Linked DNA regions of Elephas maximus indicus. The protein of the gene in region 4 interacts with the protein of the main gene of each other region in a pairwise test. Links are inferred from orthologs where the notes say so. Each region holds a gene or a part of one and is shown on either strand. Other genes may lie near its edges. The genes, in order: KIAA0408, SOCS7, CPNE2 and SORBS3.

Region 1 (7,842 bases), on a different chromosome or scaffold from region 4:
CAAGAGACATAATGCTCCGTAAAAGTGCTAACACTCTTCTGGCTCACAGTGGGTGCTCGATAAATGTCCATTTCTTGATTTCTTATCATGCCCCTCTCTCCCTCCTTTTCTCCTATCTTCCTTCCCTCCTTCCCTTTATTTGTCCTCTCCCTCAATGTTTTCTTTCCCTAGAACACAACTTATGCTGATCTTTCATTAGAAATTTTATAGAAGCAAGTCTTCACCTGTTTGAAATCTCTTTTATTTCCAATGACTTTCCTTTGGCCTCAGTATTTTTCAAGTACTTTAAGGATACATGGCAAGTATTTAGAGAACAGCTTTTTTATTGTTAGCAAAAATTTGAATAGACAAATCTTTAAAAAGCTACTTTTGTTATAATGCTATGTTAAATATAAAAAATATTAAATTGAAGGGGCATCTTTGTAGGAATAGAATGTTCTGTAATGAAAAGTTACGGGGTGAATTGGTCCAGCAGACAAAAACTCAATTTCAGTGCTCTTTACGGAGGCAAACACAACCCTTCTCTTTGTTCATAGCTGCCACTTTTTTCTCCCACAGATATCGGCATCTATGTGGGAGAGAAAGAAGGATTTCTGCTATGTGCCCTACCCTCTATGTCGCTTTCATTCTCCATTTCATTACTTTTAGAATTTCATTCAGAATAAAAATTTGTTAGAGCTAATGTGTAAAGGACAGAGTGAACTACATAAGTAGTCTACGACAACTATATGCTGGCATTAAGTAGTTCCTTTTAACCTACCTCCCCCTCCCCAAAGTTGGAAGCCAGAATTGTAAAGAGTTGTGAGTGGGTTGAGTTAGTATGGTGATGGGAGAAAAACAGTCAGTCTGCTAACCTCTGGCCCTACCAGTGAGCAAAACATAAGAGTAACATAGTCAGGGTTCTGACAAATTATTTTCATTCCCCAAATCAGCTTCAATTTGGTCATGCTAAGTCTTTCATCTGAAGGGTGCTTCATTCTTACTATGTCTCCATGGTTACCATTCTGACCTCCATCTTCTCCATTGAAAACTAAATGTTAGCCAAACAATGAAAGAGAGTTTTAGGGAAGGCTTTTTTTAAAAAAAAATTATTAATTTTTTTTTTAATAGCTACGTCTCGCTTTTGAGATTTTTTTTCCCTAGTACTTGTTTATTGCTCTCTTATTTCCTTTTTCTAAACATATTACTTTTCATATAACTGAAGATTTTTCAAATGTAGATGATTATATATATTCCAATAAAAATGCCAAACACTAGGGGCTGCCAACCTTACAATTCCTGGAGGAATCATTTGCCCTGGGCAGGTTCTGTTTCTGCTTAACTTTAAACTAGGGATTCCCATGCCCATATCCATTGGAGTAATGCACCTTTTCCCTCCAAAATACTCTTGCCATTTCTCCAGGATATTATAAATCATTTGCATCATTTCAACTAATTAACCAACCTTGTTCTTCCCCTTTTGTTTGCAAATGCATCCTTCTAAAGACTACCATGATTAGATTTTGTTACTGGGTAAAAGGAAACATTTTTATTATTATTTATTGCAATTTCAGCATGTTCCTCATGTTCCAAACAAGGTCAAGCAGACACTACCAGAAGAATTTCCAAAGAAATCAATTTTGCCTCCTCATTTAATTGTCTTCTCCTTCTTTTTCTCTCCTGTTTATTTACTCCAAGTAGAAAACACCCAAGCTGTTGGGGCACTAGCTTTACTTCTAGTTAGCTTATAAAATAAAAGTTTTGAAAGATGCTTTTGTCTTGGGAAAACAAATAGCTAAAATTAATGAGCATAAACAAAAGAAGATGTGATGGTATGGTTCCCTTCTACCTGCAGGAGATTAATCCATAATGAATGGCACTCGAATTACAGAAACTGTCATCATGCAATGAGCAAACTCTTAAAACTTGGATAAAACTACATTTATTTATTTATTAACTGCGATTTCCAAATACCAGCAATCTCCAGGGCTGCACACGTCACTTTGCAAATTCAAAAAAACTCTTCATTCTAATAAATATATTGAGTGAAATCTGTGTACAAAGTATTGTTCGAAGTGCTGAGAAGCAGCGTTTGAAAAATACAAGCTCAGAGAGTAGACGGCACTCTGTACAGAATTGGGAAATCCACCCTCAGCAGCTGAATCGCCTCGTCCCCAGGAGTCAGTACAATCCGTTATGTACCCCGCCCCGCTGTTTTTAAAACCAGACGCAGAGACACAGGCAGATGTTGAAATAACCCTCAGCTCAAACAGTACCCGTATTTTGAAACACGTCAGCTACCCCTCTATATTCTGCCACAATTAGGCACTTGGTTTCTAACTTCCAGAAAGAAAACATACCTGTTCGCAGTGGGGAAAAATCCCATGCACGTTCGACCACTGGTCAATCTAGCAATGGAAGGAAGTAGAAAGGATAGCTAGTTATCCTAAAGAGAAAAGTCTCAGCTCGGTTAATCTTGCCTTTTTACAAGAAATGGGAATGCTAAATAAGCACAACCATTCAACAGAGCAGTACTGACAAGTCCTTTTGAAAGCTTCGCAAATCAAAAAGCTGCTCAGCTCAGTGTCACAGCAGCAGCTGAAACTGCTGTGACGTCAGTTACTCGGAGGCGGCCTTCAAGCCACCTCTTCCAACCAGAGCTCTGTAACTTTAGAGCAGCTCACGCTCTGGGTAAACAACTCCAGGTCCAGGACATTTTTAACTTTTATAATGGAGCCCAGTATTTTCAAACTTGCCAGAAGGACTGGTGTTAATATCACACAATGACAATGGCCAACTTTAGCTTTCTCATTAGGAAAAGTAAACTCCTTTTTTTAGAGACAAGAATCCACCCCTCCTGACATACCTCGCACCTTCCCCTCCTTGGCTAGCCTTGGGACGCACTCTTCAGTGCCGATAGGAGTTTACCACTGGGCACAGCAGAACAACATGCGCACCAATTTCTGTGTGTGTGTGTCTCAAAAGATTTTTGAAAGCTTAACAAACTTCTGTCTTTATATAAAATACGAATGGGGCATATATAAAGACTGACTTCATAGCTCTTTATGAAGTCTATTATAGCTGCCTGTATGTACAATGATGGTGATGTCTTTAGGTTAGAAGAAATCAGGACCATGGCAAGGGATGATACTGCTTATTTTGGGAGGAAAGAATAAACTAGGTACCCATGTGCTTGTTTCAGCTAAGGTGTGCTACTGCCAAAACAGGAAAACAAGGCAGCCCAAATGTGTGGAAAGGCTTCCTGAGCCATGACCAAATTGGCCTACCATGGAAATGTTAGAATTGCCTCCCCAGGAACATTTCTAGGTTTTGTGTACTTGTTTCTCGATTAGTGTCTATAAAAAAAAACCCCAGTGCCCTCGAGTCGATTCCGACTCATAGCGACCCTATAGGACGGAGTAGAACCGCCTCATAGAGTTTCCAAAGAGTGCCTGGCGGATTCGAACTGCTGACCCTATGGTTAGCAGCCGTGGCACTTAACTACTACTCCACCAGGGTAAGTCTATAAAAAAAAAAAAAAAGTCTACAGCTACTTTAAATCTAATTCAGCAAATATGCTGTGTAAAGTTTAAATAATAAGGTCCTATCCTCAAGTCACTATGAGTCGAAAACAACTTGATAGCACCTCACAACATACTCAAGTCAGAATGGTTTCCTCTGTGTGATCTTTAAAACATTATATATTCACTTTCACATCTGTGCCTGCTTCAAGATAATTACTCTATGGGAGGCTAAAAAGTGTCAAAATAGTAATCTGCACAAAACCAAACCCAACCCAATAGCAAAACGAGCAAAATAGGCCCTTCTCAGAAGAGGAAACATGAATGATCTATAAATATATGAAGAGCTCGTCAACCTCACTGGTAATCAGGGAAATGCTAATTGAACAATGAGATGCCAAATGAAAACTTACATCCACACAAAAACCTGTAAATGAATGTCCCTGGTGGCTTTATTCGCAATAGCCAAAAAACTAGAACAAGCTTAGATGTCCTTCAATTGATAAACAGTTAAACTGTGACACATCCATACCACGGAACACTCAAACTCAAAAACTCATTGCCACAGTCAGTTCGGACTCATAGCAACGCTACAGGACAGAGTAGGCTGCCCCACTGGGTTTCCAAGGCTATAGATCTTTGAGGCAGATCGCCACATCTTTTTCCCGAAGAGTGGCTGGTGGGTTCAAACCAACAACCTTTTGGTTTCAGCAGCTAAGCACTTAACTACTGCGTCACAATGAACAATACTCAGCAATAAAAAGAAGTGAACTATTGATAGATGCAACAACCTGATGCATCTCCAGGGAATTATGCTGGGTGAAGAAAGTCAAGCCCAAAAGATTAAATACTGCATCTAATTTATATAATGTGTTTGAAAGGATAAGATTTTAGAAATGGAGAACACATTAGTGGTTGTCAAGATTGACGACAGGGAGAGCAGAAGGGAAGAGGCTGTGGCTATGAAAGGACAACAGGAAAGATCCTTGGAAATGTTCTGTATCTTGATTGTTGTGGTAGACACACGAGCCTACATGAGATAAAATTGAATAAAACGAAACATACACACAAACAAATGTGTACAAGTAAAACTGGGGAAATCTGAACAAAATTCGTGGATTGTATCAATGTCAATATCTTGGTTGTGATATTATTCTATACTTTTGCAGGATTTTACCATTGGGGGGAACTGAGTAAAGGATACAAAAAAAAAAAAAAAAGGACTGCCGGCCAGTCGATTCCAACTCATAGTGACCCTGTAGGACAGAGGAGAACTGCCCCACAGGGTTTCTGAGGCTGTAACCTTTATAGAAGCAGACTGTCACATCTTTCTCCTGGGAAGCACCCGGTAGGTTCCAACCAATGACCTGTTGATTATCAGCTAAACACTCAACCACTGTGCCATCAGGGCTCCCTAATCTGCATACCAAACCAAAAACCTGTTATCACCAAGTTGATTCCGACTCAGAGACCCTATAGGACAGAGTAAAACTGCCCCATATGGTTTCCAAGGAGTGCCTGGTAGAATTGAACTGCTGACCTTTTGGTTAGCAGCCGTAGCTCTTAACCACTATGGCACCAGTGTTTCCAATCTGCAAACAGTAGGACTTTAATACATGTATAATAATAGTGACTATTCATTGAGGACCAACTCTCTTTGAGGCTCTGTGCTAAGTACTTAGATTAGATCTTTATCACATTTTACCTTCATAGCAACTGTTTGGAGTTATTATTAACTGCACCTTATTGATAAAACCTTGGCTTAAAGAAGTACCTTGCCAAAGTTCATAGAAACGCACCCATGTGGAGTAGGGCTCGGAACCCATTTCTCTAACTGTAATTAACTCCTTGGAATTTTGAGATCTTAGTTTCAGTTCTACTGCCACCACGTAACTGTGTGATCTTTGAGCCTCGGTTTCTCCTGTAAGGAGACATTTACATTTACTTCATGAGGTTGTTGTAAGAATATGAAGGAATATATTCAGTGCTAGGAACACAATAAATATGTGCTCATTTCTGCCTCCACCCTTACCTGGAAAGGAGGAAGATCCTGGGGGGAGGGACAGTGGGTTCTCCAACAGCATCGATGCAGACTTACGCATTGTTCCTCCTACCTTCTCTTCCATTCCAGAACTTTTAAGCTCTATGTATTCTTTATAAATCTATTTAAGGCTGTTTTTCAAATCCCATCATAAACCCAGGTAGTATGTGGCTAAATTATAGGAGACATTATGTTGGGCCATTCTTGACACTGTCACTAAATGGTGATATTTTAATGTCCTTTTTGAGCATGTTTCGGGGTTCTTTAATGCATCTGCTTCATCTGCTTCTTGGTAAAGTTGATCTTAAACTGTATATAGAATCAAAAACTAAGGGCAGGCTTTGACAAGTATTTTACTCCAAATCTACCACTTATTCTAACACTTACCAACACTGGTTGTTAAATAATTCTTTTTTATATATTATCTAACATTTCCATGCTATATTTCATACTGAAAGGAAGTCATAAAATAACCCAGTTAGAAGACAGGATCTGAAAGCAATAAATATTCAGTACAGGTGTTTTTCAATCTTCTCCCTAAAAACTTTTGTTTTAAAAACTTTGTTATAAGTTCCTAGAGTTATATACATAAAATGAATAGATTTAAAGACTGAGGCTTATAAACTCAGCCCTACAATGATATTCAGATATGTTGAACTTCCTGACATTTTCAGGCAGCTGTCAGAATGGCTGAAATCCTTACGGAAAAATGCAATTTGTTTGTGTAATCCAGGATAATTTTAAACCATTTAAACTTTTAAACCTTCAAACAGAAGTTGATCTAAATTATTGCTCTGTTTCAGAAAGAATTAAAACATTTATGCCTGATGACATGCTTATTTTATTTCAATGTACAACAAATATGTAAACAAATGTACCTAAGAATACTTAGTGAAAAATAAATGCAGAAACACAAGATGTCATTAAGAAACAAAAAAGAAAATTCAGGAAAGGGGCTTGAAAAATTCTCTATTAATGATATTAAGCCACAAAGAAAATATTTTGGAAAGGGTGAGAGATTATGAGTTCATAAATGTCACTATCAAGTGTTTCCATACTTGTGGAATTTCAGAGTCAGAAAGAACCTCTGAAGTCATCTAGCCAAACTTCTCATTTTACAGCTAAGGAAGGAGGCCCTGATGTTAAGTCAACTGCTTAAGGTCAAAAAGCCACTTATTAGCAGTGCCAGGAATAGAATCCAGGTCTTCTCATTCCTAGTGGAGTGCCATGAACTTTAAAATTCCAAGGAGTTCCAGAGAAGGGAATAGAACTCAGGCTGTGAGGAGACAGTGAGAGGCTGATTTCTGGCTTTGTTAAATTTAAAATTCCATTTTCTTCTAAGTCCAAATGAGGGAGATGATACTCTATGCTGTCTTCCAAGTATAACACAGGAGTCATAAAGCAGAGTATGTGTCCTGGTTACTATTTACCTAAAGAGGCTTGTGTCCTCGGCTAATATAAATACTGGGTCAAACTACAGACACAAAAGGATTTTAAGTGGGTGGTTGAAAAAATCTGGTGATAAATGCAGCTACTTTGCCAGTAAGCACTTAATTTATAATATTCTGTCTGAAGGATGATCCTGAAGCATCATAAACAGTTATATATTTAATCTCTTTACACTTTAACTCTGTGTGAGGCTAAATGGATCTAACTTCTTGCTTATATAGTTTTTCAGTCACGCTTCCTTTATTCTTTAAACATATTTACCAATAAGGGGGGTACTCTATTTCTATCTTCAAAACATTAGAAAAAAATTACTTTTGAACAATTGAACTCATGCATATTAAAGCTAACAGACTATTGTAAGCGACTTATATTTTAAGTAATCCTATCTTTTAGAATAATGTCTTCCCTTTGCAATTTTCAAAGTACTTTAAGATAGGAGTCCTGGTGGTGCAGTCATTAAGAGCCTGGCTGCTAACCAAAAGTTTGGCAGTTCAAATCCACAAGCCACTCCTTGGTAAAACCCCACGGGGGAGTTCTACTCTGTCTTACAGGGTCGCTGTGAGTCGGAATTGAGTCCATGGCAGTGGGTAAAGATACATGATCTCAGCTGTTTAGTGGAATTGTCTTGAAATTTAAGTAATCTTAAATTTTTAGGGAGAGGTCTTGGCACTTCAATTAACATCTATTAACAAATGCATTTGTAAGCACCATCTCTGTCCCAGGTGTAATGTGCGACTACAGGGATTCAAAGATGGGTCAGAAAAATCCTTGTTCTCAGTAACTAAAACAACTCTGAAGATGCCTGAAATGTGACCTGCAGTATGCCTGCCTATATCCTGAGTAGCCTACAAC
Region 2 (7,009 bases), on a different chromosome or scaffold from region 4:
CTCTCTTGACTCCTGAGTTCTCTTCTACTTCCCCCACCCTTTGATATCCAGATCACTGAGTGCATGTAGGAAGGAATGGATGGTGTTGCTGAAAACTTCTCATGCTTTATAGATGGCCTCTGCAAACAACAGTTCTGCTGTGGAATCCTAAGTGTGAGGATAAGGGCTGGGGTTAGAGGTCAAGCCCCCAGGAGAATCCCTGCTATGTCAGAACTAGAAGGGCCCACAGTCCAGGCCTTTTTCTAATAGAAAGGAAACTAAAACCCTGAGAGGAAGGTGACATCCCACAAAGCTAGTGACTGGCACGCTGGGGATCTTCCTTGACGTCTCTGATTCTGTGTCTAACAGAGACAAGGGATGAAGAGGATTCAGTGACCCAGTCTACCTTCCTGCTATTACTGCTTATTGGTAGTTGAGGGTCAACAAAACACTGGGTGAAGATATCACACTAAGTTAACACGATTTCCCCCTCCCAAAAGCTTTTCATAATATAGTGAAATTTGTGAGAGCTGGAACTTGATGGGACTGCCTTGTTTTTTCCGGGTCTTGAAAGTTTTCCACCTTTGACAGGGTGCAGTCTTGCCACTTTTCTATCCCTTGTTTTAGTGGAAAATATTTGAGTTTTCCTTCTCTGACTGGTTTCCACCTTACACAGGTTACAGCTTTCACAGGTTTACCGTAATCATGACCATATGTATGGTGTTTTAGCATTTGTTAAGCACCTTTACATATAATTTTTCATTTAATCCCAACAGCCCTGTAAGGGCGGGGGGGACTATTACTGAACCACTGTTACAAAGGAAACACAGATACAAAGATGTTTAATTATTTGCTCTTGGTTATACATCCAGGAAATGGCATGATTAGGACTCAAACTAGACTGTGCAAGCTCCAGAAAAGCAGAGACAGTGTCCATCTCACTTATCACTGCACCCACAAACCATAGCCCACTGGGCACTGTAGGTGCTCAATGAACGTTGACTGACTGAATGAACCTCAGAACTTCTTTAGATTCTCTAAGTTGTTTTTCACGCATCTTTCTGACTAGGATCCTACCGCTGCTGGGACCACTTTACAGCCCTTAATGAAAGTGGTATGTATAGACATAACAAACACACATTTAAGTCATAAAGCACAAAAATACACTTCCTTTGCTTAGAGCTTAATTTTCAATGCTTTTCCCAGGACCTGGGCTACAGGCTGGAAAATTAAGGAAATGAGAAATGCCGCATTCTTTACTCAGCCTTTGAAAGAGCCCGTGTGTGTTCCCTGGTGGTGCAAGTGAAGGTGGTGGACATAGCTTTCTTCTGCGGCCAGGGAAGCAGTTGGACAGGAGAGGGCGGTGCAGAGCCAGAAACCTTGCCTTTTGTCAGGGATTCTGTTCTTGGGCCAGAGCTTCCCAGAGACAGTCCGGGATCTTAGGTAGCCTCTTAGGCTTCAGGGGTTCTGAGATCCTACAGCAGTTGCTCTTCTTTTCTGCTAGAAACCTAAGTAACACCTGACAGGTAGCAGGGGAGGGAGGGTAGAGAATGAAATCTGTGGAGTCAGAGTCAGGCAGAGCTGGTTTTGAATTTTACTGCACCTTTTTTTTTGTTTGACCTTAGGTAAGTAACTCTTTGAACTTCAGTTTCTTCATGTGCACGGAAAGATATTCTGTTGTGCAGAATTAGACATGAATTTGTATCAGGAGCCTTTTGCAATGCCTGAAGTTGAACAACAGCTCCATACTTACCTATCAACGGCCTAATCTGCGCCAGGCACCGTCTTTGACACCAAAGGCTCCATGATGGGCAAAAAACAAATATGGCCCTTGCCCTCATGGAGCATATAGCTTCATAAGGAAGACAGACTCTCATCAAACAACCCCATGGAAAGAAAATAAATTGTTGTGGTGTGCCTTTGAATCGATTCTGACTCATATTGACCCTATAGAACAGAGTACAACTGACCCATAGGGTTTCCTAGGCTGTAGTCTTTACTGAAACAGATCGCCAGGTCTTTTCTTCTGTGGATTGGCTGGTGGGTTCCAACCTCTGACCTTTTGGTTAGCAGCTGAGCCCTTTAACCATTGCATCACCAGGGCTCCTTAATGACAAATTACACCTGTGCAATTAAATGCGACAAAGGAATGGTCTCTGAGCTTGGTGAGGAGGAAGTGCCCAGGCAGGATTTCCCTGAAGAAGTAAGAAGGGAGTTCAATCTGAAGAATGAATGGGAGGTGACTAAGCAAAAAGAGAGAAAAACCTTCCAAGAAAAGGGAACAGCTTGCGCAGTGGCCATACGCCTGGGAGCCCGACACAAGGTTGGTGGGACTGCAGGAGAGAGATAACAAGGGGGAGCTTGGTGGGAGACATGGCGAGAAAGAGGCAGGGGCCACACAGGGCCCTGTAGGCCGATTTAAGGAGTTTTGTCTTTATCCTAAGAGCAATGGGAAAACAGGAACTGTTGTAATCAAGGGGTATGAATAAATTTTCATTTTGAAAGTGTCCCTCTCGCTGCAGGACTCAACCCTCTTCCCCTTGCTGCGCCCCCAGGTACTTAAGTTGCTAAATTCTGCTGATCCTTCCTGCCTGCTTGCACTCCTCTTCATCTCTCACTGGGACAAGTGCAGTGGATTCCTGACTGCTCTCCCTGCCTCCAGTCCCACCTCCTTTACCCAACAAGCTTGATCTTCCTTAATCCTTGTAACATTCCTGCAAGTAAGCAAAACAGCAATCTTTATCTGTTTTACCGATGAGGAAATTGAAGCCTGGTGGTGTTCGGGAACCAGCCTGTAGCATTTCATGAAAGCCAACTGTTAAATTTTCAGAAATTCTTCAAGCTGGTTGTTAAACATAGCCACTATAAAATTATATAAAATTACAATGAAATAAATTAAATTAAAAAATAAAGATGATAAATTCTCAAAACTCACCACTTACTAATTATTTTACTATTATCTATGCTTTGGGGTTATTTATATCCGTTGTATGGTGGCACTATTATATAATGGTATGCTATTTGCTCATTTCTTCCTAACTCTGTTCAAAAAAGTCAAGCTGGTAGCTCAAAAGCAGCCACGGTGGGCGTATTTATACCAGGGAAATCAAACAGAGATACAAATCGAGCTTGATTTATTGTTTTGTTGATTATCTAGATTGAAGCAAAGGATGGAGAAACTATTAATCATTCAGATTTAAACACAGTATCATACTGAATTTAAACATAATGTCATGTTAAATTTAAACATAATGTCATATGGTAGCTGTTACATTGTGAATGGCACAGAAATTGAGGAAATCTTCCTCCTGTATTTGAACCCTTGCTTTCTGATTCAGCAAGGCGGCTCCCATCACTGACAATCCAGTCATTTTTTTCTCCACTTCCATTAACACAGAAGAAAATGTCAACCAGCATTCACGCTACAACTATACTCCTTGATCAACTGCAACCATAGGTTGGTTACCCATTGCAATTGTATGTTATTTCTCAATTTTATACCACACATCCTTTATATCAGTAAAATTTATGATGAACTTATATACCTTTGTATGCATACACTCCTCCACCAGAGAACCGGTTATTGAACATGATCAGCACACCCCTGGGTCTAGAACACATATATTCATGTTATCATTCAACAAATATTCATTGGCGGCCAGGGGTGAGGAGTGAGGGAACGGGGAAACAAATTTACGATGAAGTGACTCGGCCAAGGTCATACATCACAAGCGACATAGGCTAGACCAGAACCAGAGGTGTTCCCAAGGCCAGCGGCTCTCTGCCGTGACCAGACCAGCCTTGCAGGGCCGCTGCACCTTACTGAGAGGGCTAGGCAGAGCCCCAGCACCCGGGAAGTGAAAAGCAAGGGTCGAAGCAGACGACCAACAGCCAGCATGGAGGCAGCTCACGTCCAATAGCGGCCCGGGTCGCCCGCAACGTCACGCGCCGTGGAGGCGACGCGAGCACGCCCTCGAGGAAAAAGGCGTGCCCACGGCCTCCCGGAAGTGACGCCATCGGGGGGCGGTCCTCGGTGGCGGCGGCGGCGGCGCGCGTCCTGGGCTCGCGCTGCGCTCCGCGCGCCCCCCGCCCCCCTCTATGAGGCAGAGGCCGCGGCGGCCGTTCGCGCTGTCTCTCCGGGGGCCGCGGCGGGCGGGGCTCCGGCGGGGCCCGGCCTAGTCCCCACCCCAGCCCGGCTCCCAGCCGCCCGCCCTCCCTCCCTCTCCCCGATGCAGGGGGCCGAGCTCCGGGATGGCGAGGCGGCGGCGGCCGCTTCGTACCGCGTCCTGAGCCGCCTGCTCGGCTATGGAGAGGCGGCCCCGGAGCCAGGCCCGCCGCCGCCGCCCCCCGGCCATGGCCCCCAGCCACCACCTTTCCTCGCGCGGCCGGGCCCGCGGGGCTCCCGGCCACCGCAGCTGATGGTGTTCCGCAACGTGGGTCGGCCGCCGGAGGAGGAGGACGCGGAGGCGGCCCCGGAGCCCGGACCCTCGGAACTGCTGTGCCCCCGGCACCGCTGTGCTCTGGACCCCAAGGCCCTGCCGTCGGGGCTGGCGCACGAGCGGACCTGGGGCCCGGCGGCTGGACTAGAGGCACAGTTGGCGGCTCTGGGGCTCGGGCAACCGGCGGGGCCGGGGGTCAAGATGGTCGGTGCGGGTTGCTGCCCGTGCCCGTGCCCCGCGCAGCCGCCCCCTCCGCAGCCTCAGCCGCCTGCTGCCACCCCGCAGGCCGGGGAGGACCCCACGGAGACGAGCGACGCGCTGCTGGTCTTGGAGGGCTTGGAATCCGAGGCCGAGAGCCTGGAGACTAACAGCTGCTCGGAAGAGGAGCTCAGCAGCCCGGGCCGCGGAGGAGGAGGGGGCGGCCGGCTTCTGCTGCAGCCCCCAGGCCCCGAATTACCCGCCGTACCCTTCCCGCTGCAGGACTTGGTTCCCCGAGCGCGCTTGAGTAGAGGGGAGCAGCCGCAGCAACCTCTCCCGCCCCCGCCGCCTCCGGGGCCCCTCCGGCCACTCGCGGGTCCTTCTCGGAAGGGCTCCCTCAAAATCCGTCTCAGTCGCCTCTTTCGTACGAAGAGCTGCAACGGTGGATCCGGCAGTGGTGATGGGACCGGCAAGAGGCCTTCTGGAGAGCTGGCTGCTTCAGCTGCGAGCCTGACAGACATGGGTGGCTCTGCGGGCCGGGAGCTGGACGCGGGGAGGTGAGACCGCATGGGGAACTGGCTGACAAACTTCCTTTTCTTGTTTCATTTCCTCTTTTTTTCTACTGCTAACAGGCGCTCTGCCAATTCGTAAGATTTGGTGTTCTGGAGGTGGCAGAGACTTAGGGCTGAAGATGGTGACAGCTTCCATTAGGTCCCTTTGGAACTGGTGGAAATTGTGGGAACAACTTTAACCCTTGAGTTCACACCTCATGATGTTTCTCAACTGACTAGCAAGGTTTGAGTCTGGAGATGACTTGAAACCATGCACCCACCCCGTTTCTTTTTCTTTTTTGCTTTTCCAAATTGGGTATTACAATTACCCCTGGTAGGGAGGTTGCTGTAAACGTTTGGCCTTTGGGGCAGAAAGCTGGTGTTGCATGTTGACCGCCTTGCTTGTTATTCTGTCTGTGTACCAGCACTTCACCCCCTTCCTCACTCATGCATACAGATGAGGGGATGAACTTGGGCAGTTGTGGGCCAGTAATCAGTTGGGCATCTCTACTCAAAGTTAATGCTTTCTGGCTGTCCCAGGCTTTTGTGTGCTGACCAGTGTCTGTGAGAATAGAGAATAGGTTTGTTCTCAAGCCCATGTGAGAACTCTCAGTATGAGGTATAGACATTAGTACGTCAGCTCTAGGGCAATTGATGAAAATTCCAGACTTAGACATTGAGCTGCTTGTTTTCCTGTGTTTCTGAAGCGTGGACTGTTCTCACACATCCAGTATTGGTTTAGAAAGCTGTCAACTTTTGTGTCGATGAAATGAGACTTCCCTTGTGGTAACTGCCATTGTGGTTTGTGCTTTTGGATGGGTTCTTAGATTTGAATTGGTGTTGGTGTGGCTTATGTGATAGATTCCCGAGATGTCTTGGCAGCCACAAGCCCGGGCTAAATAACAGGATGAATAAATTGATAACCTTACTGTGCAGTAGAATCACTTGGGGGGGGGGACTTTATGAGATCAGTATGTCTAGGGCTCAAGAATTTGAATTAAAAAAAAAAAAAACCTCCCAGTTGATCCTCCCCAGAAGTATGACCTGGACTGGGAATCACTCATCCATGAAATTCTCTTTTCAAGGGAACTTGGGTCCTCCAGGAGGAAGGTGTGGGGTTGATTTGCCTCTGTTGCTCCTTCTGAACAACTGTGCCCTGGGCTCATTCTGGGTGTCAGACCAAACTCAAACTCCCTAAAGAAATCGGTAGGTCGATGCTTGTTGCCGGTTCAGGTAGGCCAGTATTTCTGCATTTGCCTCCCACTGAACTCATGCTGGGAGCTCAGGTCTTGAAAAGTGTGTGGCTGCTGCAATAGCTTTTTTGTGGTAGGCTCTGCATTTGATGCTCCACTCGCCAGTGGGGATGAAATTTTCATCAGATCGGGGGAGGATGGGATTGAAGCTATGGGTAATGACATAGGTTAGATTGCTAATTTTCTTGTGGTTTGCATTGCCTTTGTTCCATATTGACCAGGACTTGGTCTAGGATTCTAGAGACTCCAAATATGAGGTGTGACGTGAAATTAGCTGCTACGTCTAATAGATTAGGAAGAGGAAAAGGCATATAACATTATACGGTTTTTTGCCTTTGGAAGCAGAATTTAATGGTCATTGGTTGCTCTGTCACCAACCTTCATATTGAGCACAATACAGATGTCTGCCGCAGAGCAAATTGGGCTGTAGCTCTGCAAAGAAGCTTAGTTCAGGGCACTGGAGAATTACATTTTTTGGTCCAGGGGCTTTTTCTGATGAATTGAAGAAGAGCTAGGTATTTGTGTACAAACGTTTGGTTGACTGCTGTTAGGAGCCAGCATGTTGTGTGGAGAATATAAATGTCCAGAT
Region 3 (7,568 bases), on a different chromosome or scaffold from region 4:
GGAATCCTGCCGCCTTTCTGAGGCCACATTCTTCAAGGGGGGGCTGGATTCCTGAAATGTTTTCCTCCTGACTCAGCAGTCCCAGAGTTAGCGGAGGGGAGAGGAAGGGGGAGCTCCATCAGGCCCTGGGCTAGGGGTCTGCTCAGGATGGGACCCTGCCTGGAGAGAATAGTCCCAGCTCTGATAGGAGCAGGGGAATCATTAGAGGGTGATCTTTGTTTTCTGTTCACTCCTTATTGCCCCCAGCTCAAGGTGGAGGGGTGGGAGCACCCAGACCCGACCTGCCACCCATGGTGTTCTCCACACCTGGGTGTGGTAAACTTTTCCACCAGGCTCCTGCCCCTAGAGCAGCCCAGAAGTCACCAACGGGCCAGAGTCAGTGGTGTTTGCATTCTGAGGCTTCTCTCTCCAGAAAGGAAGCAGGAAGGGAGGAGCAGGTTGCCCTGAGAAAATCCCAGAAGGAATTCTGAATGCAGTTACCCCCGTCGGGCTTACTAATATTCCCATGAATAATGATGGTTAACATTTACTGAGCGCTTATCATGTTTTTTTGGTTTTTTTTTTATCATGTACCAGGCATGGTGCTGGCACACAGCCCTTCGTTAGTTAATTTAATCCTCCCAACTACCTTTAAAGAAATATACAATGACCCTAAAAGATTTAGCATGGTACACAGAGTATTGTTAACACTATTGTACAGATGTAGAAACCGAGCTTCTATCCCTGGCCTTCACTCATGCCACTGCTTTTAATTTTCATGGCCTTTTGGGGGATCCCTTGAAATACCACAGGAGACACCCCACTTTGCAGAATGCCTGCCCCCACCCACTGGTTTGAGCCTCCCAGCAGCCCTGCAAGCTGGATTGTGCAATGGTTTGCCTCAATTTACAGATGGAAAAAGCTCAAGCCCATGGGGTGGCAAGGCATGGTAGGCAGGAAGTGGCAGAGTGTGGAGAGACCCAAGTGTCCCCAGGTGTCCACAGCCTTAGCCCCTGGTTCTTCCCATGGAGAAACCTGCCTGGATGACCTCTCCCACCCCAGCAGACTACATCACCCACCTGGGGCAGTCCCCTCTTTCACTAGGCCCCATGCCAGGGGATTTGCAATAAAATCACTCCTTTATGTTTTTGTGTCCAGCTCCCAGGCAGGCAGGCCCTGAGGGAGTAGCTCATTTTACAGATGATGACCCTGAGGATCAGACAGAGGCTGGGTCAGACCCCTGGTGTCAGAGGTGGGCGAGGTCTCCCAAGGGAGGTTCCCCATCACGGCCCCCCACAGGGAGGCTGCAACTGCCCAGGAAGGTTACAACCGGGGAAAAAATGCCTGTTTTCCTTCTTATAAAGGTCTCCCTGGCCTCTGTCACTGAAGCTGTGGATGCCCCAAAGGGCAGAACAAGCTTCCACCCTCAGTGACAGTCCACACCCCTAAGCAAGCCGAAACTAAGGGCAGCCAAAACAAAGGGCGGCTCATTCTCCCAGACCCCTTATCTTTGTCACTTTCTCCAGTACACAAGAGGCCAAGTGAGGCACAGACAGCAAAATGAACCCCCAGCTGGCTACCAGAGCTGGTTCGAGTTCCACCTGTGACTTGACCTTGGACAAATTAAGGCGCCTGTCTAAGGGAGCCCCTCCTCCAAAGAAGAGCTTGCCGAATTGGGGGAGGGGGCCCGAGGCAGTGGATGAGGTGGGAAGAGAAGGGAGGGTGAGAGTGAGATCGCTCTATTTCAGACCAGCAGCGCTGCGGGAACAGAAAGAAAGGGCCTTGCTCTTTCGCCATGCCCACCCATTTCTAAACACACAGGTGCCAGACAGCTTTTGCGCAAAAAAAAAAAACTAGTTTGCAAACACACATCGACTTCTGGGAAGCTTCCCAGCTCCACTCCCCCTCTCTGCTTTCCGTTATCGGGCTAGGAGCTGGCCTTTGGACATTCCCTGAAACAGGGGTGAGGGGAGTACCGAACGAGGGTAGGGGGCGCAGAGAGGGGCCGGCGCCTGCCTGAAGCCCCCGACCTCAGGCTGTCAGCAGCTGCGGTGGCAGCGGGGACGCTACCTTCTAGACGCCCTCCAGGCTTCTTGAGAGAGGCAGGAGGGTCCGTAAAACGGTTGGACTCAGACCCGAGAAGGAGCCACCCTCCCGGCGCACCCCGGCCCCCCTTCCCCCGCAGCCCGGGGGAAGCCGGAGCGCCCCCGCGTGGCCGGGTCGGAGCTGAGTCACCCAAGAGCCCGAGTCCGGATGCTTAAGAGCGGCGGGGGCTGGGGGCGTCGCAGCCCCCGCAGCGGAGCCCAGCTTCCTTCCGACCCGCTACTGCGGCCAAAAGCCGAGCCCCAAGGCCGAACTTGAGCACTTGCGGCAGGGCGCCCCGCCCTCCCCTCGCCCGCCCGGGCCCCACTCACCGCGGGTCCCGAAGGGGCCGCCGCCCTCACCGGGCGGCTGCCGCTACTCGCGCTCCGGGCCGCCGGGGCATCCCCGGGCGCTCCCCCTGCTCGGTCGTGCCCGCGGGCGCGGGACGGGCTCAGGGCGCTATCCGCGCGGCCATGGCCCGCTAGCGTGCGCTCTCAACCGCTTGCGGTCCGATCCTCCTCCCGGGCCGGGCGGGCGACGGCGGCAGCTCGGGCTCCTCCCTCCGGCCGAGGGGGGGGCCGGTGTCGGGAGGGAAGCGGGGAGACAAGGCGCGAGCTTCCCGGAGGGACTAGCGCTCTTCACACGGGCGGAGTGGGGCGCTGTCCTGCCCGCTGCCTGCCTCTCGGCGCCCGCAGCTGGCGCGCCCTGGCACTCTGGGCGCCGAGCGCCACCGGGACCCGCCCGAACGCTCGAGGCTGGAATCCTGGGGGGCGGGACACTCGAGGCCGGGATCCAGGAGCCCGAACGCTCGAGACCGGAATGCTGGGGGCCCGGACGCTGGAGGCCGGAATGCTGGGGGTCCGGAGGTTCGAGGCTGGAACCCCGTGGATCGGAACGCCGAGGGTCCGCGCCCTCCCAGGCCAGCCCTTACGGAGCCTCAGAGCCTCGGACGAGGGAACCGAGGGGTGGGCTTGGCCCAGGCCTGCGGGGGTCCCTCGCCGCCGCCTGAGGCCTCGACCCCGAGGGCAGATGAGCGCAGCCTTGCGCCCTCGGAGATACACTACTCGGCTTTGTTCTGGGCGGTATCCGGTCTCATTCAGACGGCAGTGTTCTCACCCTGCCTCCCCCCTTTTTGTTTCTTTATGCATGTCCCCCCCACCCCATAGCAAAAGAGCTCGGCGTATTCTTGCCACCAGGGGCTGGGAAGATGACACATATTTCTCTGACAGAAGATAACAACGGTCGATCAGAACGGGGCTTAGAGCTCTCCAGTGCGAGGGCAATTAGACGGGTCTTTGAGGCCCTGAAGCCTTCTGTGAAGGCCTCTTTTTCCCTAGAAGAGGCACCCATTCTTAAGAAATGCCTCTGTTGCTTGGCGCGTTTGCTGCTGGCCACTCGGAGGTATTTATGTGCCCAGGGCAAGTCCAATGCGAAAGCGTCAGACAGCCAAGCCTTGTTTAAGCTGATTGCATGGGGTAGGGGGTAGGGCTGTTCCGAGTTGCCCAAGGGTATGACCAAAGCACTTGGCCTTGGGGCTTGCAGACTGGGCAATTGAGAGTTAACGCCTAGCACGGTTTTATCTTGGGTTTTTCTTTCTGGGCAGATGAGGGTTAACATGGGAGACTCACACTGCGGGCTGCAAACCTCTTTCCACATCTGAGTCACAGGCACTCTGCAGTCTTAGAGGGGCAACCACTAAACAGCCCCAGGGCTCTGAGCTTTGTTCTCTGCCTGTCTGTCCCCGGTGACTTCCTTTCTCCAAGCTCTCCTCTTTCTTTCTCTCAGATTCTTTAGCCCAGCTCTGGGGCAAAAACCCACCTATAGGCGTTCTTAGACCCAGCTCCAGCCTCACTTCCTCCAGGAAGCCTTTCCTGATTGTTCTGGCCCCAGAATTCCTCTCCTCTCCTTGTTCCAGCAGTAGGAGAGCCAGGCACAGGGGCAGGCAGTGGCGAACCCAAACAGACTGCCACCTTCCCTCAAGTTGCTCACCTCTATGGAGCGAGACGGGGGTTCAGGCAATCATACTACTGCATGAAAAGTGCAAAAGTTGGAGGTGGGGTGGCCCAGAAGCACAGAAGACCCGGCTCAGCCATGGGAGTCAATGAGGCTTCCTCTAGGAGACCTGAAGGATAAGAGAGTTGGCCTGGCTAGGGGCAAGGTGATACTAGATCCCTGGCCAAGGGGACAGAGTGCAAAGGCCACCCGTAAACCCATAGCTGTTGAGTCGATTCCAACTCACAGCAACCGTATAGGACAGAGTAAAACTGTTCCATAGAGATTCCAAGGAGCAGCTGGTGGATTCAAACTGCCGACCTTTTGTCCACTCCTTGGTATCTACCCAAGAGAAATGAAAATGTGTCTATACAAAAATTGTACATTATTCACAATAGTCAAAAAGTGGAAACAACCCAAATATTCATCAACTGATGAATGGATAAAAATGTAATATATCCATACAATGGAATATTATTCAACCATTAAAAGGAATAAAGTACTTGTGCTAGCTGATGTTATGCACCGAGCTGGCCAGGCCATGAGTCTCAGTATTATGTAATTATCCTCCATTTTATGATATAATGTAATCACCTCCAAGGTGAGATCAGCCAATCAGTTTTAAGGGGAGTTTCTCCAGGGGTGTGGCCTGTACTATATGTATATGTTCTGGAAAAGCTCCTTTGCTTGCTCTGGATCCTGTTTCTAGCTTGTTATCATCTGACCTCTTGGTCTCGGTACTTGAACCAACAGCCTGTTGTCTGATCTGCTGACTTTGGGATTTGCCAGGTCTGCAGTCCTGTGAGCCAGCAGCCTACTGTCTGACCTGCCGATTCTGGGTGTGTCAGCCCCTGCAACCGTGTGAGTCAGGAGAAACCTCCAGCTGATGCCTAACCCATGGACTTTGGGACTTGCCAGCCTCCACAACCATGTGAGCCATTTCTATGAGATAAAATTCTCTCTCTATATATACGTATATATATATATATACAATTTACTAGTTTTCTATAGAGAACCCAAACTAAGACATTTGGTACCAAGGATGGTTCTAAAGAAACAAAATTACAAGGATGAGTTTTCTAAATTGTTCTCAAGTCTGACTAGTCTTAAAGGCACTGATGACTCTGTCTCCAGTAGTAAAGAGGGCACTGCTAATCCGTGGAATGAGGTGGTGATATTAATACAGAAAATATCACTACCGATAGATCACATATCAGTTAGAGGCAAGAATCTGGATGAATGCATATTTGATACTTTTCTACAATTTTGTCAGAATGAATTATACAGAAGCTGGTTGGTTGGTCCTACTTTCACTAGACAAAGTGGTGAAAGAAAGAGATGAGCTGAAGGCTTCAGAGTCAAAACTCAAGTGCCACATAAAAGACGTCAAAGTTGCCACTTGTGCCCTGAAAGAAAGCCTTATGTCTTGTAGTAACAGAGTTGATATTGCCGAAAACCAGACCCAGAGTCTTATTGTAAGAGTGGCTGAATTACAGTGACAATTTGAATGGTGTCTGAAGTTAAAGTGAGGGTGTTGACTGGGAAGAAATGGGATCCTGAAACTTGGGATGAGGACAATATGATTGATAATCAGGGAACTGGAGACATCAAACCCCTAAATTCTGTTGAATCACTCCTGCCAACAGAACAAGCCCTCCCATCTGAAGAGATTACTTCATCTTTGTCAGCTAAGCCACCTTCCCCAGGAAAACCATTATCCTTTTCACCCTCATTAGACGAGATTAACCCACCCGTGCCTGAAGTGTCTTTGTCTGAGATACCACCTGGGGTGGCACCTGGGGCATTGCCTGGGGCATCGCTGAATGTTCCCAGGACCCACCCACACCACCCATTTTTGCTTCTAGGCCTATAACTAGGCTTAAGTTCCAGCGAGCCCCAAAATGTGAAGTACAAAGTGTGACCCAGGGGGAGGTACACTACACTGCAAAAGAACTGCTTAACTTTTCTAATTTGTACAAATAGAAACCTGGGGAATATGTGTGGGAATGGCTATTAAGGGTGTGGAACAATAGTGCAAGGAACATAAGGTTGCATCAGTCTGAGTTTATTGATATGGACCCAGTAAGTATAGATCCCTCATTCAATGTTTCAGCTTGAGAGGTTAGAAAAGGATCTAATAGGTTTTTTTTTTTTGTTCATTCACTGAAGCATGGATTAAGCTGTGGCCTACACTAAATCAAGTTGAGGGGCTAGACCTGCCTTGGTATATGGTAGAAGAAGATATCCAAAGGCTTAGGGAAATTGGCATATTAGAGTAGATTTATCAGGTTAGACCCACAACGCATCCATGGAGTGCCCAGAGGACACAGCTTTTACCATAATGGCGAGGGAAAAAATTGTGAAGGGAGCCCCAGCATCCTCGAAGACTGCTGTGAATGCTATTTTATGTACATCCGATTTGACAGTGGGGACTGCCCTAACTGAATAAGACACCTAATTACCATGGGATTGATTGGACCCCATGGTGGTAGAGGCCAAGCAGCAGCACTTAATCAACAAAGACAAGGTGGGCGTGGTTACCATAATGGACGGCAGAGTCAAAGCAGTAATCAGAATTGCCTGACTTGTATGGGCTTGTGGCATTGGCTACTTAGTTATGGTGTCCCCAGGAGTGAAATAGATGGAAACCTACTCAATATTTACCTGATCTGTACAAGCAGAAGAATTCTAGGTCAAGTGAACAGCAGTCTACCTTGAATTGCTAGAATAGAGAGTCATAACCCTCAATCAATTTCCAGACTTGAGCTAGTTTTAGACCCACAACTCCTTGAATGAAGGGGAGGCCAGCTTCCCTTGAAGAAGCACCCTACTAAACTGTCAAAAATTTATACCATTGATCTTTCTCCCAGCCTTCCCCAAAAGGATCTATGGCCTTTTATGAGTGACTATTCATTGGGGAAAAGGAAATAATCAGATCTTTTGGGGATTACTGGACACTAGCTCTGAACTGACACTAATTCCAGGAGACCTGAAATATCACCGTGGCCCACCAGTCAGAGTCGGGGCATATGCAGATCAGTTTATTAGTGGAGTTTTAGTGGGTCCAGTGGGTTCCTGAACCGATCCTGTAGTGATTTCCCCAGCTCCAGAATGCATAATTGGAATAGACATGTTCAGCAACTGGTAGAACCCCCACATTGGATCCCCGACATAATAGTAAAGGCTATTATGGTAGAAAAAACCAAGCGGAACCCGTTACAACTGCCTCTACCTAGGAAAATAGTAAACTAAAAACAATACTGTATTCCTGGAGGAGTCGCAAAGATTACTGCCACCGTGAAGGACTTGAAGCATGCAGGGTGGTAATTCTCACTACATCCACAGCCGACTTGTCTATTTGGCCTGTGCAAAAAACAGACAGATCTTGGAGAACGACAGTGGATTATCATAAACTTAACCAGCTGGTGACTCCAATTGCAGCTGCTATTCCAGATGTGGTTTCATGGCTTGAGCAAATTAATACAACTCCTGGTACCTGGTTGAAACCCTGGTGG
Region 4 (7,553 bases):
GGGTGGGAAGGAGGGGAAAACCTTGGGAGGGGGTTGGGGTCAGCTGGGTGGGAGCCCACAGGACCCAGGAAACAGGCCACTGTGGGCACCCGCCTGCAGGCTGCCTGTGCCAGCTCCCATAGGCACAATGGACTGCTTGTTAGGCCCTGGGCAGGAGCTCCTGGTGGGAGTGGGGGTGGGGGAGGCCTGGGCAAGGAGGAGGGAAGGCTGGCCAGGAGCAGGCTTGCTGGACAAAGCCTCCTTGGGCATGCAGGTCTGCAGGACCAAGCTCCGGCCTTCGCCCTGTTGGGCAGCCTCTCTGGGGCTCTCACTGCATAGCACAGCCTGCTCCCCCAGAGGAAGGCAGAGGGGAACTGGGGCAACTGGCAGAGAGGGGTAGGGGGATATGAGACTTTGTTTCAGTTCCCTCTGCCTCCCCCAGTCCCTGAGTGAGCATCTGCTTGCCAGCGGGCACAAGGAGCAACTCAGGCCAGGGGAGAGGCCCTGGCCAACAGCAAGGGCACCGCCCACTGCCCGCTGGGAAGCAGTGGTGGCACCCTAAACCCGAACAAGGCCAAGGTTCCGGGGAGGGGTAGAGTGGGGGGCATTTCCAGGCAGCAGGAACCACTCCTTCTGAGCTCAAAGGGAGTATCAGCTCCATCCTTTATCTCCCTTCCCTCAGACTGAGGACTCAGAGGTTCAGCGTGCAGTGAGGAGGGGGTGGAGAGAAGTAGCCGGTGAGAGGAAAGGTGGACCTGGAGGGTATTCCCTGGTGCTCTCTTGCACATGGTCACACACACACACACACACACACACACACACACACACACACACACACACACACACACACTTCCTCCTATGTCTTCAGACTGATTGTTGGATGGAGGATCTTCCCTGGCCAGCCAGGTTCTACTGAGGTTAGGTCAGGGGTAAGGGGCTCCAGGCATTCAGGAGATGGAAATGGAGGAAGGGAACTCAGAGGGGTGGGTGGAAGAGGACAGGGAGGAGGTTCTCAGGTCAGGGTGTCTAATGAGGCTCTTCTACCCAGAAACTGGTGTGGAGGCTGTCCCACCTCACCTTTGCTGTTGGACTGGGCCACTACCTTCTGGGGCCAGACTAGTTCTGGGCTTTTTGCTCAGTGTGACTGTGTGTGCCTGTGGGGTCGGTGGGGGTTCATGGGGAGGGCAGCCAGTGGGATGGGAATGGAGGTGGAGTGATGTGGCTCTGACTTGTGGGGGTGCCACCAGTGGGGATCATGTGAGCAGCATGGGTTGTGGGTACAGAAGGGAGTCAGCTGAATTGTATGTGGGTGTGTGTATGCAGTGGGTGGTCATATGAGCAGCACACGACTTGCGGGGACCAGAGGAGATGAGGGTGCATAGGGGCTGTGACTGGTTGTCAGGCCTTGGGGGGGGTTGGCAAGGGTACAGACAAAGCTGGGGGCAGCTCCTTGTCTCTGGTCTGAGTTTGGGGGGATTCCTTCTGACATTCGAGCAGTGGCCTGTTGGGGATCTAGCTTTTCCGTGGCTGTGGGGAGTGGAGGGCTGAGACTGGAGGAGGGGCAGCTCACCAGCTGGATCCCATTAAGACTCCTATCAAATGCGAAACATGCAGACACATCCTAGTTCCCCCACTGCTCTCTTCCTTGTGGGGAAATTGAGGCAGAGGAGAGTGGGAGGTCAGGAGGCCCAGGACAGGGTAGGTCCAAGCAGGGACCCCTCCCTGTCCAGCTGACTGCTTGAGGCCAAGTTGCCTGGTCAGCATCTGCAGTCTCTGCCCGTCAGCTGACCAGACTCTTCCTTTCCCAGCCTCCCCATTCCACTCTGTACTCAGTGACAACTGCCCTCTTGTAGAGTGGTGGATGGAGGGCAGGAGGTGCCCCCCAACCACTTGAGTTTTCAGGGGTTGTTGACCCTTGATGCCTCAGCCTGCCTGCCACCCCACCCCCATCTGGCCCAACCTTCAGGGATAGACAGAGGTGGGGATGGGAAGGGTAGTCTGAGTTTTTCTCCTCGAAGCCCTGCCAGGAAACATTGGGGAGGGCTTTTCATAGGGACGATGAGGCACCCAGGGGAATTGGACCTGCATCTGGCAGAGGACAGAGGGTGCCTGGACATTTCTGGTGTCCTTCCAGAATTCATCCAGCCCCTTTCCTTCCAAACAGCCAGCTCCAAAGAGCTGGAAGAGATGCGGTACTTCTACTTCGGCTGGCAAACACCTTCCCATCTCTAAGTGCTGCTTTGACCTTGGGGTCTTGGCCCTACGCACTTTTCCAGGTCCAGCTACAAGTCCACGTGGACTTCTCAACTTTCCCCTTTTCTGGATTGACGGGAGGGAGGAACTTCCAAGCTCTTTCCACCTCAGTTTCCCTGAGTTTGGGACGCCCAGCCTCTGAGGACCCCAAGGGGAGGGGCTCTACTGCCTTCCCTTTGGGCTTGGCGCGGGGCAGGGTTGGCTCCCTGGTCTCTCCCTGACTGCGGCCTCCGCCTCCTCTCCCGCCCCTCTCCATGCCGGCACCTACCTTCCCCGGCGAGCAGGTGGCGGGGACTGAGACCGCCTGGGAGGGCAGGAGCATCTCTGCTCGGCTCCCGCCTGGCGCGGCCGCTGCGGGCCCTTAGGGAGGGGCCCGGGAGAAGTCCGAGATGTGCTCTCTCCCCTCGTGACCGGGTCAGGACAGGGCTCCGAGAGGCTGGGCGCACGAGGAGGAAGAAGGAGGCAGAGGCAGTGAGCGAGCGCGAGCGCGCTGGGAGGCAGGGGACGTGAGCTTTGGCAGAGGGAGGGCGACCGGCGGAGTTTGTGTTTCCAATCTGGACTGTTTGCGGAGGGGTGGGGTGGGGGGCCGGCTACTCCCTTTCCCGCCTCGCGGGGCGGGGGCTCGAGGACAGCCCGCCAAGGGCGTGCGAGTGCCCTCCGTCCGGGCTTTGGCCGGGCGCCCCGCGGGGACGCTGGTGGCTCCTGGCCCAGGAGGCCGGGCCGGCCGGGAGGCGGCGCCGGCAGGAGCCACCCGAAGGTCCCCGGGGAGCCTGCTCTGGTTTCCCAGCTGCCTTTCCCCGGCCCCCACCGCAGGGCTGGCGTCGGACAGGGGGCGGAGGAGCCAGCAAAGGCCACTCAGAGTTTCCAGCGACACTTCCAGCTTGTGGGAAGGGAGCGGCTGCACAGCCGAGCCAGGACAGGGCAGGAATGATTAACAAGAACTAGCCCTGGGCCCCAGGGCCCGAGTCGAGCCAGCAGCTGATACGGAGTCCGCAACCTCAGAGAAGCCCGAGACGGGCCAGAGATGAAGACAGGCTGGGACCAAGATAAGCCGGAGAACGCCGAGGGCCTCCCAGACAGAGCTGCAAAGCGGAACGAGTTAAGGCCTTGGAGAAAGATTTTTGTGCTTGCGTAGACACGCGTCCGGACGTGTGCAAACACACACACACTCGCCTGCAAACATGCCGATGCTCACACACGTGCAAGCACCGAGGACTGCCCGGGGAGAAAGTCAGCCTGAGGGAGCGGCCCACTGGGCGCACCACGCCTCTATAGGATGAGGGTGGGGCCCCTCTGGCCGGGATGGGGTTAGGAGGGTCTTGGTGTTCCCATACGCCGTATTTATTTTGATTTTGTTGCTTTTCCGCTGTTCCAGCTGCTCTGGCACAAGCCCCAAGAGCCCCGCCCATGGGCTCCCTGACCTTTCTGGCTACGCCACCCCTCCCCCGCCCGCCCTGTTTGCACAGGGTCTGTTGTAGAAAGCGGGGATGCTTAATGAATGCTTATCGATAATGGAAACAGACGCTGGAGTACTTCTAGCTCTTGGCTTGGCTGTGGGACCCCAGGCCCCAAACCAACAATCCAACAGTAACTGAGCAACTCCACATACTTTTTGGGACAGAACAATGACAGATTTTGAAAACATGTAAACATGGACCGCATACCTACTGGGTGTAAGGTTTGTACTCTGAGGCCACAATACACCTTGGAGTACTTACTCAAAAGTTGAGAGTGGGGAAGGGGATGAACAACTTTCCACCTTTACCATCCTGAACGTTTTAGCTTTATATTTTTTCTATGCAGTTGAAAGAGCTCAATCAGGATGCCCAGAATGAGCGTGAAACAATGTCCCATAGAAAACAGCTGAAAGAGATGTTTAGGCTGAGGGGATACTTAGGAGAGACAGGGCATGCTGGCTATCTTCCAGTACCTGCAGGGTTGCCACGTGGAAGTAGAGTGGTTGCACTGTGGGTCTAGGAGCAGAAGTGGGACCATTGGGTGTAAATGATAGGGAAGCAGATCCAAGGCTTCCAAGGAAGAGTTTGAGGGGAGGCAGCCGTGCCTTTTCCCTCCCCTAAAACTTGGATACTTACCACCCCTAGGTACTATGGGCTTCCTCCCTCAGGGACAAACTATGTGCTCATTTCCCTTGGAAACTGTGGTGGCATAGTGGCTAAGAGCTATGGCTGCTAACCAAAAAGGTCAGCAGTTCGAATCCACCGGGCGCTCCTTGGAAACCCTATGGGGCAATTCCACTCTGTCCTATAGATAGGGTCGCTATGACTTGGAGTCGACTATTCGAGTTGGAATCAATGTTCCCTAGTCACCAGTTTTTCCTACCTGTCAGGGTCCGTGGGACTAGAAAGGACCACATCACTTTCATTTTTTTCCTTGTTCTCCAAAGATGGTGACGCTGAAGATCTTCCAACTTTGGGAATCCTGGCCATACCCTCTCTCCCCAGGAGCAAGCTTCCTTTGCTTTCTAGGGCTCTGACCAGGACTCCAAGATAAATATTTAACAGAGGTTGCAGCTGAGCTGACAAAGGTCCCAACTTCCTGTTTGTCATAAAGGGAGGTGGCAGCCATCGGTAAGGAGCTGGGGACTGGCTACCACTTTCATCACTATGGGAATAGGGAGTCCAGTAAACAGCTTTGCAAGAGGAGGCGGGACAGGCCCAGGTGGTGACCTGAGCCTTTTTCCTAAGCTGCTTTGACTTTTGCCTGTCTCGCTAGGCCCCTGTTCCGGGCTTACCACCTTCTCTCTCAGGTCAGAACCTGCTTTGCCCTGGCACCAGTGGACACTCTCCTTCCCAGAGTCTTAGGCTCTCTGTTAGACAAAGGAGGGTCTATGACCAGATCCCCCCATTGTGTTCCATGGTGCCCATCTGACCTCACAGAAGAGAGGATGAGAGATTGGTGGGAGCATAGCGCAGGAAAGACATAAGGAACTGTGTGGCTAATTCCTCCTTTTCTGCCCATATTTAGGGAGAAAAATTCGTCTCCTTGGAAAACTGTGAATGATGGGAAAAAAAGTAGCAAGGTCCAGGGATTCAGCCAAGAACCAGGTATCTGGTGGGCAGCTCCTGTCTGGAGGTTAGATGAGAAGGCAGAGGGGGCAGGAGCTGGTTGAATGGACACGGGGAATACAGGGTGGAGAGGAGGAATGTGCTGTCTCATTAAGGGGAGAGCAGCTAGGAGTACATAGCAAGGTGTGTATAAGTTTTTGTATGAGAGACTGACTTGATTTGTAAACTTTCATTTATAAGCACAATTAAAAAAAAAAAAAAAAAAGAACCAGGTGTCTGATTTCTCAACTTCTCCCTCTAGCTTCAGCTCTACTTGCTGCTGGCCTAGCTCCACAGCAGGCATCTTTCTAGGGAGAGACTGAGGATAGGGAAGGTCGTCCTAGATAACATTAGCTGTTGTCAACAACAGAGCAGATTCCTTTCATCCCAATGTGCTATCTCCTGGGCAGGATTCCCTTATATCTTTCAACAGGGACCTCCCTCCCTGTGAGTCGGCCTCTTCTCCACCTATGGCACTGCCTTTTGTCAGGAGGCTCCCTCTGCCTTCTCAGAGCCACCTGAGCCAGAGTAAACACAGTTACATAACTGCTCTGTTTCCCTAGCAATCTGATCCCAGTCACCAGTATTCTGTCCCCCACCTCCCCACCCCTTAGGCTGCCGCCTTTTGTTCTGTGGATTATCCCCCAGTAGCGCCCATGTCAACAGAAGTCTGTCCATTCTCACCACTCTAAAGGACCATTAGCCAAGAGACTGCCAATAAAGGATGTGGCTCTTCACACGGAGGGGGAGAAGAGGGTGGCTGTTCATACAGAAATGAAGGTCACTCTGAAAACCAACCTCTGTCGCCAGAGAAAGGATGAATGGAAAGAGCACTTAAGTAGCTTTTTTTGTAACAAGGAAGGTCAGGTGAGTAGGAGAGAGCAGAGAACTCAGTTTCATTTCTCAAATGGGAAAAGGGAAGCAAGGGATCCCAGAAGACGTAAACCTGGACTCTCGTTTCTTGGGGAGTGTCTTTATCCAGGGCTGAAGTCTAGCATTCATGTCACACTGCTGAGCTCCACCCTGCTCAACCAAGAGGCTCCCCAGCTCTGTGCCTCAGTCCCCCGTATTAGATAAAGGAAGGGCAGACGAGCCCTGGCATATTCTTCAGTTAGGCTTTGAGCTGGTTTCTCAATTGTGCTCTCAGAAAAGTGTTTTCTTCCTGCCAGGGGAACTCAGCAAGTAGACAAGAATGGGTTAGGAAAGAAAGTGCTGTCCCTTTGGAGGAGTTTGGTCTTCTCTGGAGGGGAGGTGAGGGACTGAAATAAAGTCATACCAGATGTACGAGCACAAATCTGGACTGTTTCACCCCCTGGGCTCCTTTCCTCTCTCCTGGTCCTCCTCTGATTCTAGCGCCTGCTTATGTTGCCAGCCAAGTTCTATTGATGCCCGTTGTCTGTGTCAGCCACTCATGGGAACAGGAGACGGCAGAGGAGGAAAGGGCTATTTCCAAGCCTGGCCCATCTGGAATCCAAGTGTTTTGGGGGTAGTCACTGTGAAGTGAGGGATCTCTGAGAGTGAAAAGCTACACAATACAGGTCAAGTATGTCAGTGTTAGGCCAGCCAGGATGAGTGCGTGGAAACCCATAGGAGTAACATTATGAGGCTTTCAGGCCTGCTTTGCACAGATCTTTCCATAGCGTTCGCATGCTGTAACAGGCATCTATTCAGGGTTCTCAGAGTCAATCAAATCCAAACCCTGAAGGCTGTGAGAGAGTTCAGCCTGTTGGCCAGTGTATCTAGCTTATCCCCAAGGAAGCCTTTACACTGACATCACATCAACGATTGGTCTCTCTCTTCCTCTTTTTATAGATGAGCAAACAAGCACAATGTTGTTGCCTTTGAGAAGAACTGAACTGTATGAACCGCTTTTAGTTCTCAGGCAAGATGGAAACAGCAAGTGGCTGTCAGCTCTTTAGACAATAGATTTTATACGAGAAGGATAAATGAGTGATGACCTCAGAGGGAAAACCCAGCCAAGTCAACTCAGCCACAAAGAAGGGCACAGAACCAGGAGTTGGAAAATTAGGTCTGCATCATCCTTCTTTCCTAGCTCAGGTATACTGAGATAATAAGACAAGAGGGCTAATGTGTTGACTAGTGGATACCATGAGGTAGTGCTTTGGCCTCTAAACAAAGAATAACCTTGTCTTCCCACCTCCTTGAATTCTATGATGAACCTTTTCCTTAACTGCATCAACATTAAAGAAAAGACTACCTAATTGGCCATTAAATTCTTAATCCCTTGTATCAAAA

Evidence for each region.
Region 1: the proteins of SORBS3 (region 4) and KIAA0408 interact in binary tests that used the Homo sapiens proteins (3 or more experiments, as listed by UniProt). The two-hybrid records come from large-scale screens. The link is inferred for Elephas maximus indicus from reciprocal best matches to the Homo sapiens genes SORBS3 and KIAA0408.
Region 2: the proteins of SORBS3 (region 4) and SOCS7 interact in binary tests that used the Homo sapiens proteins (3 or more experiments, as listed by UniProt). The link is inferred for Elephas maximus indicus from reciprocal best matches to the Homo sapiens genes SORBS3 and SOCS7.
Region 3: the proteins of SORBS3 (region 4) and CPNE2 interact in binary tests that used the Homo sapiens proteins (3 or more experiments, as listed by UniProt). The two-hybrid records come from large-scale screens. The link is inferred for Elephas maximus indicus from reciprocal best matches to the Homo sapiens genes SORBS3 and CPNE2.

Annotation. Positions count from the first base shown.
Region 1 is NC_064819.1:195,510,243-195,518,084, forward strand, and holds the start of KIAA0408 (uncharacterized protein KIAA0408 homolog), read right to left. Parts: upstream 3,021-7,842; 5' UTR 2,366-3,020; coding exon 2,340-2,365; intron 1-2,339.
Region 2 is NC_064837.1:45,971,189-45,978,197, forward strand, and holds the start of SOCS7 (suppressor of cytokine signaling 7), read left to right. Parts: upstream 1-4,004; 5' UTR 4,005-4,208; coding exon 4,209-5,173; intron 5,174-7,009. UniProt on the Homo sapiens protein: Substrate-recognition component of a cullin-5-RING E3 ubiquitin-protein ligase complex (ECS complex, also named CRL5 complex), which mediates the ubiquitination and subsequent proteasomal degradation of target proteins, such as DAB1 and IRS1.
Region 3 is NC_064839.1:24,036,247-24,043,814, reverse strand, and holds the start of CPNE2 (copine-2), read right to left. Parts: upstream 3,014-7,568; 5' UTR 2,394-3,013; intron 1-2,393.
Region 4 is NC_064840.1:52,127,558-52,135,110, forward strand, and holds the start of SORBS3 (vinexin), read right to left. Parts: upstream 3,013-7,553; 5' UTR 2,501-3,012; intron 1-2,500. UniProt on the Homo sapiens protein: Vinexin alpha isoform promotes up-regulation of actin stress fiber formation. Vinexin beta isoform plays a role in cell spreading and enhances the activation of JNK/SAPK in response to EGF stimulation by using its third SH3 domain.